Linked DNA regions of Saccharomyces cerevisiae S288C. The gene in region 1 interacts genetically with each later gene. Each region holds a gene or a part of one and is shown in the gene's direction. Other genes may lie near its edges.

Region 1 (3,905 bases):
AACGACTTAATTACCTACTTGAAAAAAGCCTGTGAGTAAACAGGCCCCTTTTCCTTTGTCGATATCATGTAATTAGTTATGTCACGCTTACATTCACGCCCTCCTCCCACATCCGCTCTAACCGAAAAGGAAGGAGTTAGACAACCTGAAGTCTAGGTCCCTATTTATTTTTTTTAATAGTTATGTTAGTATTAAGAACGTTATTTATATTTCAAATTTTTCTTTTTTTTCTGTACAAACGCGTGTACGCATGTAACATTATACTGAAAACCTTGCTTGAGAAGGTTTTGGGACGCTCGAAGGCTTTAATTTGCAAGCTTCGCAGTTTACACTCTCATCGTCGCTCTCATCATCGCTTCCGTTGTTGTTTTCCTTAGTAGCGTCTGCTTCCAGAGAGTATTTATCTCTTATTACCTCTAAAGGTTCTGCTTGATTTCTGACTTTGTTCGCCTCATGTGCATATTTTTCTTGGTTCTTTTGGGACAAAATATGCGTAAAGGACTTTTGTTGTTCCCTCACATTCCAGTTTAGTTGTCGACTGATACTGTTAATAAACTCATCGGGCGAGGCTTCCACGGTTGGAAAAGCATATGGGCTGGCGCATATGGTTATAAAATCACCTTTTTGCAATTCAATTCTATCTTTCCCATCAAAAGCCGCCCATGCTGGAGCCCTTGACTTCATCGAGACTTTCACTTTTAAATTTATACTTTCTGGTAAGATGATGGGTCTGAAACTCAATGCATGTGGACAAATGGGTGTTAAAGCGATTGCATTGACGGTTGGGCATACCAATGACCCACCTGCACTCAAAGAATAGGCCGTGGACCCAGTCGGAGTAGCAGCAATCAGTCCGTCCGCCTGCGCAACGGTCATTAATGAGCCGTCACCATACAATTCTAACATGGATAGAAAAGGACTTGGACCACGATCGATGGTCACTTCGTTCAAAATGTGGTGTGTGCTTAGTTTTTCCACCACACATATTTTCTTCCCCGTGTTTGGGTCTACTTCAGGGCGGTGTCTACGATAAATTGTGCACTCCAACCTCAACCGTAAATTTGTCTTGATTTTATGATTCATAATCCGAGGTAAATCCTCCCTGAAATGTTCAAACTTAAAATTTGTTAAAAATCCTAGAGACCCTAATGAAAACGACATAACGGGTGGTACATGTCTCTGAAAAATGGAACTTACAAAAAGAACAGTACCGTCGCCACCCAAAGTCACTACCAAATCGAAGAAAACATCATGTTCCCTGATGAAATCCTTTGTCCAATACTTGATCCTTGATTCTCTACATTTACTATCTTCACATAACTCGCCAGCGGCAAATTTTTTGCTGTTTTTCAATTCGGAATCCACATAAACAGTCACACGTGGAAAATGTACCAAAACCCATTCTACCAACTCTCTTGTTAAGAAATACAGTGAGACATCGTTGAGTTTCGTAACAATCATCAAATTTTCCACATCCAGTTCCACTTTGGTATTAGATATATCTTTACTCAACATTCTTACACCATACGCCGTGGAGGCATACTGAAAGTGTGTATTACTACTCTTAGAACTTCCTCTTGTTCCGTTAATGCTCGTACCACCGCCACTGTTTGCATTGCCGTTCACGAGAGATGAATCTTTATTCAACAGGGAGCTTCTGCGCGAGCTGCTTTCACTTGATATTTTCCTCAACATTTCTTTGGCGTTGTCGATATCCTGAGTTCTATCAATTTGCTCATTGTTCATCATGGCCTTCTTCATCAAGTTATTATTGTTGTTATGATGATCATTTCGACCATCTTCCTCATTTACCCATTTATCTACGCCATTATTCATGTCATTCTCCTTCATCTCAAGAGCTTTTACTCTACTTATTTAGGGAGCCTATTGTATTTTTTTTTGGCTTACGATCACGATGTCAATGATCATTTGCCCTATTATACCTTTTTCTCCGTTCTCTTTGCGTAGTGCGGTGAAATAATTTCAGGATGCATGAAAGAGCAAATAAAAGTGACACACCGTTATATCGCAAGGCGCACCACATCAGTAATCAGATACCTGTGCATTCAAAATGAGTAGAAATGTAGATAAGGCCAACTCAGTTCTGGTACGATTTCAAGAGCAGCAAGCAGAGTCGGCAGGTGGATACAAGGATTATTCACGTTACCAGAGGCCCAGGAACGTGTCTAAGGTAAAATCCATAAAAGAGGCCAACGAATGGAAGCGACAAGTAAGTAAAGAGATAAAACAAAAAAGCACAAGAATATATGATCCGTCTTTAAATGAAATGCAGATTGCGGAACTTAACGACGAACTTAATAATCTTTTCAAAGAATGGAAGAGATGGCAGTGGCACATTGACCATACACTTATGGAAAAAAAAACCAAGAGGAAAAGGTTAGAAGACAGTCATGTGCTGATGAATTCAGGAAAGCTGATAAATGGTAAGAGATATTTTGGAAGAGCCCTGGAATTGCCTGAAGTAAAAGAATGGCTCAAGCAGTCTCAAAGGCAGAATGATGGGGGTTCTATAAACACCAAATGCATACCGAAGGATAGAAATGATTTTTATTACCATGGCAAAGTCACAGCCGCCTTAACCGAATTTGAGGCTAACTGGACATCCATTTTGAAAGCACATTATAATGTGCCTGTGAATGAAGATGAAGAAGAAATGTCAAGGCAGACACAAGAAATCCATGTACCAACTCTGGCAGATATGGAGCATTGGTTAGTGCAAAGAAGAAAAAAGAAACTAATGGATGAACTTAACCTTTAGCTATGGAAAATTATTCAAACATTTAGAAGAGGCACTATTTCGAATGACCATCACAAGCATTATAATCTTCAAACATGTCCGAGCTGCAGATATGAAGTAAAATAGTGATCGGGACTCATTTTTTTTTCTTCTATGATATCATATTGTCCCGTTCGTTATTAAATGTAATTCTTCCACCGTACTAGTTATCGAAGGCAAGATCTCCTTTTTACGCTTAGGTAGATTACATAGATTTCATAATGTACACCAATACAAATGTATCTTATACACTCGTCAAATCTTATATGAATCATGCAGGAGTAGCTCTCGTTTTCTTTTTACGAGCTACTTGAAAAAAAAAAACTAGCGAAAATCCTTTGCTTAGAAATCCAGATTTAAAACAAAACCGCCGAAAAGGGAAAGATTTTATGATAGGAAATACCTTAATAATTCTATATCATCCCGAGTCTTAGGAAAATGATTAGATCTGTGAGAAGGGTTTTCATTTACGTCTCAATATTCGTATTGATAATAGTTTTGAAAAGAACATTAAGTGGCACAGATCAAACGTCAATGAAACAACCAGTGGTGGTCATTGGCTCTGGTTTGGCAGGCTTAACCACAAGTAATCGTCTCATTAGTAAATACAGAATTCCTGTTGTGCTTTTGGATAAGGCGGCTTCTATTGGTGGGAATTCTATAAAGGCTTCTAGTGGTATTAATGGTGCTCACACAGACACTCAACAAAATTTAAAGGTAATGGACACTCCCGAATTGTTTTTGAAAGATACTTTGCATTCGGCTAAAGGCAGAGGGGTTCCATCACTGATGGATAAGTTGACTAAGGAATCCAAGAGTGCTATCAGGTGGTTGCAAACAGAATTCGATTTGAAATTAGACCTCCTTGCGCAATTGGGCGGTCACTCTGTTCCAAGGACCCATAGATCTTCTGGCAAATTACCACCAGGTTTTGAAATCGTGCAAGCGTTATCAAAAAAACTAAAGGATATCTCTTCCAAAGATTCCAATCTCGTGCAGATTATGCTAAACAGTGAAGTAGTGGATATCGAGCTTGATAATCAAGGTCATGTTACTGGTGTAGTATATATGGACGAGAACGGAAACCGTAAAATCATGAAGTCACACC
Region 2 (4,595 bases), on another chromosome or scaffold:
AGCATTATCTCCGGCTTTAGTGATACTATATTCTTCTATAGTGGCGTTAAAAAGATTTGTCAAACTAGGCAATGTCTGGTCTAATGAAAAACGGTATAGGGAGCAAATAAGTATAAGTTTGAATAATGTGGAAAGAGTTTTGAATTATTCTAAACAAGGTGCGGACGCCGATGAGGAACACTTAAACCAGGGTCTACTAGTGATTGAGGTTTCTAACTTATACAAATTGGGAAGTTTTTTGATCCCGCGTTCAAGAAAGAAAGAATGGTTTAGGGACGTTGAGGAACTGGTGGATACCAATCTTGACTCCGGAGCTCATATAAATGTCGTCAACAGGATATACCACGTATATGGCAGGTTTTTAATCCATTAGCGTATAGCCTGCTGGGGAAGAAGAAAGGGAAGATATTGAATATATTCTTAATGTATTTTTTGTACAGACGTAAATATAAAGAAATCAACGCAAAATCGACGCCTTTTTACTTTTTATACTTTTTTACTAAAAAGACAGATTTTCTCGCTCATATCATAAGTGATGTACTATTATCCTCCATATACGATATATCTGTTTAAAAAAAAAGAAAAAAAAAGGTTACTTAAATTCATACTCATTAGAAAAAAATTCTAGGGATAACAACACCAAAGGTAGAACTTCGTTCAATTTATGAAAGGTTTGGCCATAATGGAGAACAAATGAATGAAGTATATAAAGAGAAAAACGACTTAAAAGATATTATTAACAATATCTGACCCAATACTAGCGCCTGCCCCAAAAATGGCGGCATTACCCAATTTGCTACCAAAGCTCTTCAAGTGGCTATGTGAGCTCTGATGTTGTTGTTGTTGTTGTTGTTGTTGGGGAGGAGGAGCTTGTTGCGGCTGTTGTTGAGGCTGCTGATAATAATTTGTGGAAGGTGGAGGAAATGGCTGCTGTTGATAAGATGATGCGGCACTATTTTGCGTGGGGATTTGTTGTAATTCTTGAGCTTTATACTGTGGAGGTGGTGGAAGATTGGATGGACCGTTAGACCCAGAGAAAGCTGGCTTGACATAGTTTGCTGGGAAAATACCGGTACGGCCATTACAGCTACCCTTGTACCACTCTGGAGATAATTTTTCTAAAAGTTGGACCTTGTCACCTGGTTTTAAGCCCAAATCACCATCTTGTTGAGGATCAAATTGATAAAGAGCTTCGACATATTCCAAGGAAGCTGGACTGGCGTTGCGGGGTGCATTGGCAGGATCCCATTTTGCCGGCAAGCTCTTATTTATTTGATCGTAAACGTCATTTGAAATGACATTTGACCCTTTTAGAAAATCCAGTTCTGTCCTAATGTTTGTTAAGGAACGATTAATCAATGAAGCAGACATTTTTGAAATATCAGATTGCCTTCTTTCCTAATGTTCTTGTGTTTGCGCCAATGTGGGCACTTTGCCTATTGTCTCAACCGATTTGAGGTTCGACTATATATGCAGCTTACAATATCCATCCCCGCCTCGAAGGAGGCTCGGTTAATCACGCTGCACGAACGAAAACAATAGTTAAAGAAACGTTTAGAACAATCTAGCGCTTTGAAGAAAGAGTATTAGGCTCTTTACGTGAAGGATGGCACATTCTCATTCAAAAGTTGCTGCTAACTTTTATCATCAAATCAGTAAACCCCTTCTTGTTTTTTCTTGACAGAAGCTTTCACATAACGGAACCAACCATGGAATAACTTAGCACCACATCGAAAAGGATTTGGACTACTGCGCAACAAAGTGGGACCCATGTAGACATAGAAAATAAACCAGATCTATAGATCGCACCTATTAAAAACCCCATAACTGTACCAGTCGTCAAGCCTTGAACGCCTCCGTATAAGACGTACATGACGAATATCCATACACTTCCAGCCTTCTTTCTATGGGTCAAGCTAGCATACACACCAGCAGTAACGTAAAATGCACCATTAAAGATCAAAGTCCAGTACAGCGAAAATTTCCAAATGTCAGATATATAGTATAAGAATGCAGTATTATACTTCGAGTTGTTGATGGGCCAGTATAATGAGGGGAATTTTGGCGTTACATATCCAACAGGTATATCGTTATTTGTTACGAATGATCTGAGCACAGGGAACATGCGACAGAGTAGTGGATGTTTTTATTGTTAGTTTTGTGCCTATTATTTTCTTAAGCCACAGGGAGCGATGCCTGCATCCAGCCGTGGCGGATATAGTCTTGGTAATGAATAACATACCTCATAATACGGCAGGAAGTTGGAACTGATCTTGTTGGCAGTTTTTATCTTATACAGAAGCGTCAAGAGTAGGAAAAGGTTTTATTATTGCATATTTATCAACTTTCAGTATGTTTCTTTTTTTCTTCGGCAATGAAAGAGAAAACAATATAATTGAAGAAAGAGGAAATAGTGTCCGAAAGAGATTCTGATATGTATTATAAAGAGAAAGACAGTTCAGTAACACAGAATCGCCATGCGTGGAGAATGGCAGGAATTTAAGACACCTGCAGGCAAAAAGTATTACTATAATAAGAACACGAAGCAGTCTCGATGGGAAAAACCTAATTTGAAGAAAGGCTCTAACCTAGAAAGCAATGCGAAAGAATCACAGACAGAGAGGAAGCCAACATTTTCATTAGAACTGGTTAATGGTTGGCACTTAATAATATACAACGATGGTACAAAACTTTACTTTAATGATGACTCTAAGGAGTTCAAAAATGACATCAGTCAAGAGGACGACAGCAGGTGTCGCTCATTAATCGAGTCGTTAGATAAGGAAAAACTGGTTCTTCTGATTGGCGTTGCCAGAGGTTACACTATGCGGGAGGAGGACATTGATAAAATCCTCGAATCTTGCAACGAAGAGATTCATCTATTTAAAAGAAATCAAGACGAAGTTGAGAGAAAAGATGAGATCAGCGAAGAGGCGGGTGACGTAAAATCCCCTTTACAGGAAAGCCACACTGGGCTAGTCAGCGGGTATGGTTCATCTTCGGGGGAGGAAGACGAAGAGGAAGACGAAGAGGAAGACGAAGAGAATGAAGAACAAATTGTAAATCAAGATATCAGCATTATCGATGATCTGAATCGTATTGATACAGATGACATTGACGAGCGTAATATCTTCTTCGAATTATTCGATAGGTATAAACTAGACAAGTTTTCCACGTGGTCGCTGCAAAGCAAGAAAATCGAAAACGATCCTGATTTTTACAAGATCAGAGATGACACAGTTCGTGAAAGTCTTTTCGAAGAATGGTGCGGCGAGCGCAGTGGCAATGCCACCGCTGAAGAAAGCGATAGCGAAGATAATAGCGAAGACGATAGCGAAGTACTAGAACCAACAAAATACCATTATCTGGCACAAATTGTTGCTAATGCGGGAACAATCGCACCCGACACCATCCCACAAGATATAAGGAAACAACAAAAAGCGTTATACAAGGCCTACAAAATCAAGGAGTATATACCGTCGAAGCGCGACCAAGACAAATTCGTTTCCCAACTGCTGTTTTATTATAAGACGTTCGACTTGGAACAGCGGAAAGAGATTTTCTGCGATTGCCTACGGGATCACGAACGAGACTTTACGGGGGCAGTCGAATCGCTGCGTCAGGACAAAGAGCTTATCGACCGATGGCAAACACTTCTGAAAGCACCCGCGGACAGTAGTAGTATAGAGGATATATTGCTGAGCATTGAGCACAGGTGTTGTGTCAGCCCAATAGTGGTGACGGAACCACGCTACTACGTCGTGGGCATTCTGGAGAAGACCGTGGTCTGGGTGCGGTGGCTAGCCGCCGAGGTCGGGCCATCAAGCCGGTTTACCCCAGTGGGCGCGGGGAACGAGCCGATAAATCCGGAATAGGAAGGGCAGACCAGGGGAGCAAAGAGTGATTAAGCTTACGCACCTGGTATGGACGTGATGGAAGTGGGGTGGTGATAGCAACCAGAATACGGTAGGGTCTTTACGCTTAGTGTACCTATCGGTATTCAGGCTCTTTGCCAGTGATTGGGGCTGCGGGATCCGCCATCATATCTAGTCACTTTTGTATAAGAATGAATGATAAGAGCAGGTGCAATTTTCGGACTTTAGATGTTTCTTGTGTTTCATTATTTATAGCACATTTATTTTTTCCCTCTGAGTGTGTGTCTGCATGTATACATTTTAGTTGAATTATAGAGAGTAACGAAACACACACGCATACACGTATATACAAAGACATATATACGTACGGAAATAGTGAATAAGGATGATTTTATTAAAGAGGACAAAAATTAGGGGCGTCAGCGTCTCTTTTGTAAGCTTGCAAAGAAGGACTCACAGCAGACTGGTGAACCCCATAAGGCAGCAACATCAACAAATTACCAAGCAAAGGAGTTCAAAGATTTTAAAGAATGCGCATTTCTATGACTTTAGATCGCTGCCCAAAGTACCTACTACACAGTATTTGGAAGCTAGGGAGCTCACCCGCGATATTCTGTATAGCGGATACAGGCCAGTAATGTACCCAGTGAAGGAAAACCCGCTATTCAGAGATAAGAAGAGAAAGTCCTTGCAAACGTTATTAACAATGAACGAGAAAAC
Region 3 (3,571 bases), on another chromosome or scaffold:
AGTCAAAGAGCATTCCCGAGGAACAACGAGAACAATCTCCAAATAAGATGGAGGCTGCTCTTTGTCCTTTTGAGCTGGACGAAAAGGAAAAGTTACCTGCTAATGCTGAGTCGGATCCTCTTTCTCAGTTGCCACAGACGAACGCCGTAGGTAATAGAAAAGCCATAAGTGAGGAATCTCTGTCCCCATCGGAGGCCATCGCCAACAGAGATCAAAACGATACGACAGAAATACAGGAACAGCAGATGGAGGACCAAATGGAGGTTGATATGGAAAGAGAACTCTCAGGTGGCTACGAAGACGTTGATTCTGCCTTACATTCAGAAGAAGCGTCTTTTCACTCCCTTTAGAATCTTATAAATAATATGTATGAATAAACTCTATAGTATGTATCAAGAGAGAAATATGTGAATGACGAGCAAACTAGAGGTGTTATTAATAATAATGGCATAAAAACTAGATTTTATTCTATATATATATATATATATTTCTTCGACTTTTTTTTTTTTTACCCGCACACCCTGAATTTTGTGCTATTTTGAAGCAGAGCGTACTGAACAAATTGGCAGATTTACAAGAGGAATAACAGAGTTATGCTAAATCATTAAGTGTTTCTTGCGGCCAGAAGGGGCATTATACAAAAGATATGGTTGTTGATACTGAGTATTACGATTTGTTAGGTGTGTCTACCACTGCATCTTCCATTGAAATAAAAAAGGCCTATAGAAAGAAATCTATTCAAGAGCATCCTGATAAGAATCCCAATGACCCCACGGCTACCGAAAGGTTTCAAGCAATATCCGAAGCTTATCAAGTTTTAGGTGACGATGATCTTCGCGCAAAGTATGATAAGTATGGAAGAAAAGAAGCTATTCCTCAGGGCGGCTTTGAAGATGCAGCTGAACAGTTCTCTGTCATCTTTGGTGGAGATGCGTTTGCCTCATATATTGGCGAACTGATGCTATTAAAGAACCTACAGAAAACTGAGGAGCTAAATGCTGAAGACGAAGCTGAAAAGGAGAAGGAGAATGTGGAAACAATGGAAGAATCACCTGCAGACGGTAAGACGAATGGCACCACTAACGCTGTTGATGCAGCATTGGGCAATACTAACGAAAAAGATGACAAAAATAAGGCGAGGACAACTTCTGGTAATTTAACTGTACACGATGGAAACAAGAAAAATGAGCAGGTAGGAGCAGAAGCTAAGAAGAAGAAGACAAAATTAGAGCAGTTTGAGGAAGAACAAGAGGTAGAAAAGCAAAAAAGAGTAGACCAATTAAGCAAAACATTGATTGAAAGATTATCGATATTAACAGAAAGTGTCTATGATGATGCATGTAAAGATTCCTTTAAAAAAAAGTTCGAAGAGGAAGCCAATCTTTTAAAGATGGAATCATTTGGTCTGGACATATTACACACAATAGGCGACGTTTACTACGAAAAAGCTGAAATTTTTCTTGCATCCCAGAACCTGTTCGGAATGGGTGGTATATTTCATTCTATGAAGGCTAAAGGGGGAGTATTTATGGATACACTAAGAACTGTTTCGGCAGCCATAGACGCTCAGAATACTATGAAGGAGCTTGAAAAAATGAAAGAAGCTAGCACGAATAATGAGCCTTTGTTTGACAAAGACGGAAATGAGCAAATTAAGCCAACCACTGAGGAACTGGCGCAGCAAGAGCAGCTATTGATGGGCAAAGTATTGTCGGCTGCTTGGCATGGTTCTAAATATGAAATAACATCCACTTTACGTGGCGTTTGTAAAAAAGTACTAGAAGATGACTCGGTAAGTAAGAAAACGCTTATCAGAAGAGCTGAAGCAATGAAACTATTGGGTGAAGTCTTTAAGAAAACTTTCAGAACCAAAGTCGAACAAGAAGAGGCACAGATCTTTGAAGAACTTGTAGCAGAAGCTACAAAAAAGAAGAGACATACATGAAGTTAGCAATCATCTCTTGTATATTAAAAATTCAAAAATTCACTTTTTTTTATTATCTGTATTCAATATAATATAATGTATATAAGATCACACTAATACTGATAATTCTATTCTTGAAAGAAAGACAATAGAACAATAAAGAAGTGATTGAACTCAGTGACAATGATAATTTATGTGATAAGGAAGTGGTTATGGCTGGAGAATTATGCCACACTTAAATGATAAGCTCTTTTACCTTTCTGGGTTTAGGAATTTTTTGAGATTAATACAGATAAAAAAAAATAGGCCGAACATTAATTACTCATACAACTCAAAAAGTGCAGCGTGCAATTCTAGATCAAGAACATAGATAATATAAACAAAATAACAATGAACAAAATTCAGCAAATCAACGATAAAGAACTACAAAGTGGAATTCTTAGCCCGCATCAATCATGGCATAATGAATATAAGGATAATGCTTATATATATATCGGAAATCTCAACCGAGAATTAACAGAAGGTGACATATTGACAGTCTTTTCTGAATATGGAGTCCCTGTAGATGTAATTCTTAGCAGGGATGAAAACACAGGAGAATCGCAAGGTTTTGCATATTTGAAATATGAGGATCAACGGTCAACGATTCTAGCAGTCGATAATTTAAATGGATTTAAAATTGGCGGTAGAGCCCTCAAAATTGATCATACTTTTTATAGGCCAAAAAGGAGTTTACAAAAATACTATGAAGCTGTAAAGGAAGAATTGGATCGAGATATAGTTTCGAAGAACAATGCTGAGAAACTCATTTTGGCTAAAAAGGACCAACCAAATTAAATAATTTTTTCTTTCATCGCATATCTTATATTCATATAGCCTAGAAAAAAATAATCAATATCATATTTGTAATTCTACATCCTTTCAGAAATTAGTATACATACGTATCTATAGAAAGCAAATTAAATCTTCATGGAAGGGGTGGGGGTGGAGGAATACCTGCAGGTGGAATTGATGGGATACCTGCAGTAGAAACTGGTTGTGCCCCTTCTTCCTCTTCATCTGTACCAACTGATTCAGGAATCGATAAAACGTCATCATCAGAATCGGATCCATATGCGCCCGTGCCTTTTTCAGCACCATTGTAGTTATCAACGTGAGCGATAATAGGTTCTGAAGTGGAAGCTTGTTGAGTTGGTAAAGGTGGGGGTGGAGGCAAAACGCCTCCAGCTAAAGCTGGGGTGGAAGAACCCGATTTTTGCACGGCAGTAGCTATTGCAGGTGCTGAGGGAATTGGAGGTTCTTGAAAGCCATCAACAGCAGGCAAAGGGGGAGCCAACGGGACGGGTGGCTCCTGAGTAACAGAAGGTGGTATCGGAGCTATTGGAATAGGACTACTCTTTTCATTAGAGGTATTCGCCTGAGGGACAGGGACAGCAGGTGGAACAGGGGTAACAGACGGCAAGGGAGCAGCAGTAACAGGTGGAGCACGTGCATGATCAGGATGACCAATCTTTGCTTCTTCAACCTTATTATCTACAGCTACGCGGTTATTACTCTCGTCTTCATCAGACCATCCATCATCCTCGTCCTCATCCAATCCTCTTTGGATTCTTCTTTGCATTTCTGCAGCGCGAGCATCGAAAGTAG
Region 4 (3,836 bases), on another chromosome or scaffold:
TAGAACCAAGTGAACATCCACTTGCAGTGATGTCACCCATGATAGGAATTGGGCCATCTTCAATTATTACACATGGAAGATCTTCAGCGGTTATTCCTTCTGTTCCTGATGAAAGTTTGTATTCGCCTCCAAAAGTACCATCAGCAACGCAATCAAACTCACCCGTGCAAACAGCAACAGTCCTGTATTGGAATGCCACAATTTGTGTAGCGCGCACAAGTGTGTCGATGTTCGTTTTGCCGCTGCTAGAGTCGACGCCCTTCATTTTATGGTTATTTAACTTGGCTAGAGACAGTATTTCACTGCAATTGCCCTTTATACAAGCAAATTGGCCGTAAGTGAGCAAAGTGTTGTTTAGACAGAGCCTTGTTTCAGTGGCGCTGTACCCGACCGGGTCAAAGGTGATGGGTCTATTTACTTCATTATAAGCATTAATTGCGGCTTTTAGCATTTCAATAGGTGCCACTGATCCGGTATTTAACAGTAAAGAAGCATTTGGGATTCTTGCTAGTTCAGATACTTCACTTTCAATTTCAGACATGATAGGAGATGAGCCTAAAGCTAGAGTGACATTGGCACCAAAATTTTGATGAACCTTATTGGTGATATGTTGCACTAATGGACGATTGTTTGATACTTGAGATATAACGTTTTGAATTGAAGTTGTGGTCGGAAATGTATTATTTAACTCGCACTCAACAAATTGGTATCTGGTAGCATCTAACAAGCCTCTCAACCTCTTGGTTGCTGCACATGCATCTGGAGCGGCCATAATATCGCTGACTAGAGAGATACCATCCAACGATCTCTTTCCATTTGAAGCAACACATTGACAAAGCACACGTTGAATATTGTCAGGATGAAGACCACCAATACCAACGGTTCTACACCATGTAGCTTTAAATTCCTCCAAAGCATCCAAAATGGCAATGGCGCCTTGAGGACCCATGGGTGATTTCTTAGGATTTTTCTTTGTTGATGTAGGGAAAAGAGTACCAACACCAATATAATCTACCATATCTGGCCCCCATTTAGCCAATGTCTCTACCTCCGAAGGTTTACCAACACTCCATCCAAGAATTTTAGAAGGGCCCAAAAGTTTTCTTACCATTGGGATTGGCATATCGTCCTGGCCCACATGAACCCCATCGGCGTCAATTGCCATAGCGACGTCTATACGGTCATTGATAATAAGTGGAACATTGTACTTCTTACATATTTTTTGAACTTCTAAAGCCTCTGCAACGAAATTTTTTGTTTCAATATCCTTTTCACGGATTTGAACTAGCGTTACACCATTTTTCAACCCAGCTTCAACCTGAGAACATAAAGTAGTTCCCGGTGGAAGCATGGTAGAATCTGTAACCAGATATAATGAGTAATCAACTTCTTCCTTAGTAAATACCATTTCCGCTGTTTGATTTAAATAATTTAGCTTCAGAGTGATTTGGTCTTGAGAACCATGGTTAGATCGAAAACTAGGCGCTTCCACAAGTAAATGGATGCGTTGCCGCTATAAATATATGTAGTATTGATTTTGTTACACCTGCTAAATAGGTTCTTACGATTGCCTTTTTCCTATAATATGCATAAATTATGTTGCCCTAAAAGAGTGAAATAAACCTTATCTATCTTTTTTTTGTTCCTGGTTTTCAAAGTTGATTTTCGACAGACCCTAGTTAATTATAGGAAAAAGCCCTATTAGTCTTTTTCTTATCATAGATGACATTTACTTATATTAGGCCAATCGCATACTCTGCATCCAACAAGCCTTCAACAGGTCGAAGTGAAACTACAGGACTTGGAAAATATCAGTTTTTATAAGCAATAATGAAGTTCACCCCTAGCATAGTTATTGATGCTCCGCAATATTATGTTGATCATTTTAATGGCAAGTATAACGTGGATAAATGTGTTATTTTAAGAGACCTGCAGCTAGAAACGGATTCAGAATCCATGCCATCCAGCTTAAAGCATTTGACCAAACCTACGCACATCTTGGATTTGACAAACAATGACCTTATCATGATTCCAGATCTATCAAGAAGAGACGATATACATACATTACTGTTGGGCCGAAACAATATCGTTGAAGTAGACGGTCGCCTATTGCCTATGAATGTACAGAACCTTACATTATCGAATAACAGCATAAGAAGGTTTGAAGATCTTCAAAGGTTGCGTAGAGCGCCCAGGACGTTGAAGAATCTAACTTTAATAGGGAATCAAGTATGTCATTTAGCCAATTATAGAGAACATGTACTTCGATTAGTACCGCATTTAGAGACTTTAGACTTTCAAAACGTAACAGCTGAGGAAAGAAAGAGCGCAATGAGCTTTCCAAGGCAGGCGGACGGCGATACGTTGGGCCCAGTAAATACTGCAATAAGAGATAATGGATCCAGAGATAAAACGATGGAGATCATGAATTTGGTGGTGAGTAAGATGACAGTAGAGAGAAGAAATGAATTGAAAAAGCAGTTAGCAGAAGCTACTTCTTTAGAAGAGATTGCCAGGCTGGAAAAACTACTCTCTGGTGGTGTTTAATCTTTTGGTTAGTGCGACTGTTCAATGACTTAAAAAAAAAGAATTATAAATTATTCTGTGCCATTATATAATAATATATAAAACGAAAACAAATAATGGTGCTCTATAAACATTAGAGGACAATGTCAATTTCAATGTCAATGCCTTAGAAATTAAAGTTGGTAAGAAAGAAGGAAAGGGCAACCTAATTAGCTGCCGCTTCCGGTTGTACTTCAGGTTCGTTGCTCTGAGTGGTGCTGGATATTTCAGCCTTTTTACTAGCAGCTTCCTCCTCTTCCATTCTTTTTCTTTGCTTAATCTTCTTATTGCTCTCGGGCGCATCAGTAAGACCTGGGATACCCTTAGCTGTCAAGAATTCGAAGATACTCTTTTGCACAGCAGGTCCCGATTTATCGGCAGTTTCTTCTCCCTGTGCTCCAGTAACCTTGTTGAAACTATCAATATAACTAAAGAACGCATTAAAAACATTTTCGTCCACCTCTTCCTTGTAGATCTTATCGTAGATATGCTTCATTTTGAACTTATCCACTTCGTCTTGATATTTGGAAAAATCGATCGCCTTGTAACCAAACTGTTCTAGTCTTTTATTATAACCTTCAAATACTGGAGCTTCTAACAATAATCCTAATGCAGGTGCCTTCGGAATATTAATCTTCTGCTGTCCGTAAGCCTGACTAATGCGTTCGACGGGGCAACCACAACGGGTAATTAAGGTTGCCATTGATACCATCTTACGAATTTGATGTAGCATGAAAGACTGGCCGTGAATCTTGATGGAAATCCATTCTGTTTGGGCATCGCCAATAACAAATGGATCAGATACTTTTATATCTTTCATAAATCGAATGGCACTTGGTTCTTTGAAGTCCTTGCCTAATGTAAAATTATGGAAGTTATGAGCGCCAAGGTATTGACTTGTAGAAGCACGGAATTTGGCCAGTTTTGCCGCGGATATACGATATCTTCTACGGTGAGCATTTTCTAATTGCTTGTACTTTTTTACCTTCTGGTATAGTTCTTCATTTATATCAAATTCATCTCTTGCGGGCGGAACATATGCTAATATAGCTTCGATTTCTTCTGTTGAAAATTTTTCATTCGCATCTTTTTTAAACTCTTCCCAAAATTCTTTGGATTCCAAATCTTCATCTAATACACCAGGTAATTCTGTTTTACTTTCTTCGATGTCTCTATAAAGTATAGAACCAGGTTTGGGGCCAATGAGTGAATAAGTTGGTAATAAGTATTCGTACCAACGTGAACTGCACATTTTTCTACAATCAAACGCC

What was found.
Region 2: mutations in ISY1 (region 1) and URN1 together harm fitness more than expected from each alone (negative genetic interaction), as found in Saccharomyces cerevisiae (4 studies listed by BioGRID, with this or other methods).
Region 3: mutations in ISY1 (region 1) and IST3 together harm fitness more than expected from each alone (negative genetic interaction), as found in Saccharomyces cerevisiae (5 studies listed by BioGRID, with this or other methods).
Region 4: mutations in ISY1 (region 1) and LEA1 together harm fitness more than expected from each alone (negative genetic interaction), as found in Saccharomyces cerevisiae (4 studies listed by BioGRID).

What each region holds. Positions count from the first base shown.
Region 1 is NC_001142.9:526,626-530,530, forward strand, and holds ISY1 (Isy1p), read left to right. Parts: upstream 1-2,071; coding exon 2,072-2,779; downstream 2,780-3,905. Other genes in the region: CYC1 (cytochrome c), read left to right, coding at 1-39; UTR1 (NADH/NAD(+) kinase), read right to left, coding at 259-1,851; OSM1 (fumarate reductase), read left to right, coding at 3,236-3,905. UniProt on the Saccharomyces cerevisiae protein: Involved in pre-mRNA splicing and cell cycle control.
Region 2 is NC_001148.4:831,341-835,935, reverse strand, and holds URN1 (Urn1p), read left to right. Parts: upstream 1-2,477; coding exon 2,478-3,875; downstream 3,876-4,595. Other genes in the region: NCA2 (Nca2p), read left to right, coding at 1-373; PIN3 (Pin3p), read right to left, coding at 724-1,371; MAY24 (May24p), read right to left, coding at 1,691-2,108, 2,243-2,247; SUE1 (Sue1p), read left to right, coding at 4,261-4,595. UniProt on the Saccharomyces cerevisiae protein: Component of the spliceosome involved in mRNA processing.
Region 3 is NC_001141.2:362,575-366,145, forward strand, and holds IST3 (U2 snRNP complex subunit IST3), read left to right. Parts: upstream 1-2,314; coding exon 2,315-2,761; downstream 2,762-3,571. Other genes in the region: AIM21 (Aim21p), read left to right, coding at 1-350; DJP1 (Djp1p), read left to right, coding at 647-1,945; actin cytoskeleton-regulatory complex protein PAN1, read right to left, coding at 2,892-3,571. UniProt on the Saccharomyces cerevisiae protein: Required for pre-mRNA splicing and spliceosome assembly. As part of the pre-mRNA retention and splicing (RES) complex, required for nuclear pre-mRNA retention and efficient splicing. Required for MER1-activated splicing.
Region 4 is NC_001148.4:148,784-152,619, forward strand, and holds LEA1 (U2 snRNP complex subunit LEA1), read left to right. Parts: upstream 1-1,830; coding exon 1,831-2,547; downstream 2,548-3,836. Other genes in the region: THI6 (bifunctional hydroxyethylthiazole kinase/thiamine-phosphate diphosphorylase), read right to left, coding at 1-1,408; pseudouridine synthase PUS1, read right to left, coding at 2,732-3,836. UniProt on the Saccharomyces cerevisiae protein: Involved in pre-mRNA splicing. Associates to U2 snRNA in a MSL1 dependent manner and is required for normal accumulation of U2 snRNA. Required for the spliceosome assembly and the efficient addition of U2 snRNP onto the pre-mRNA.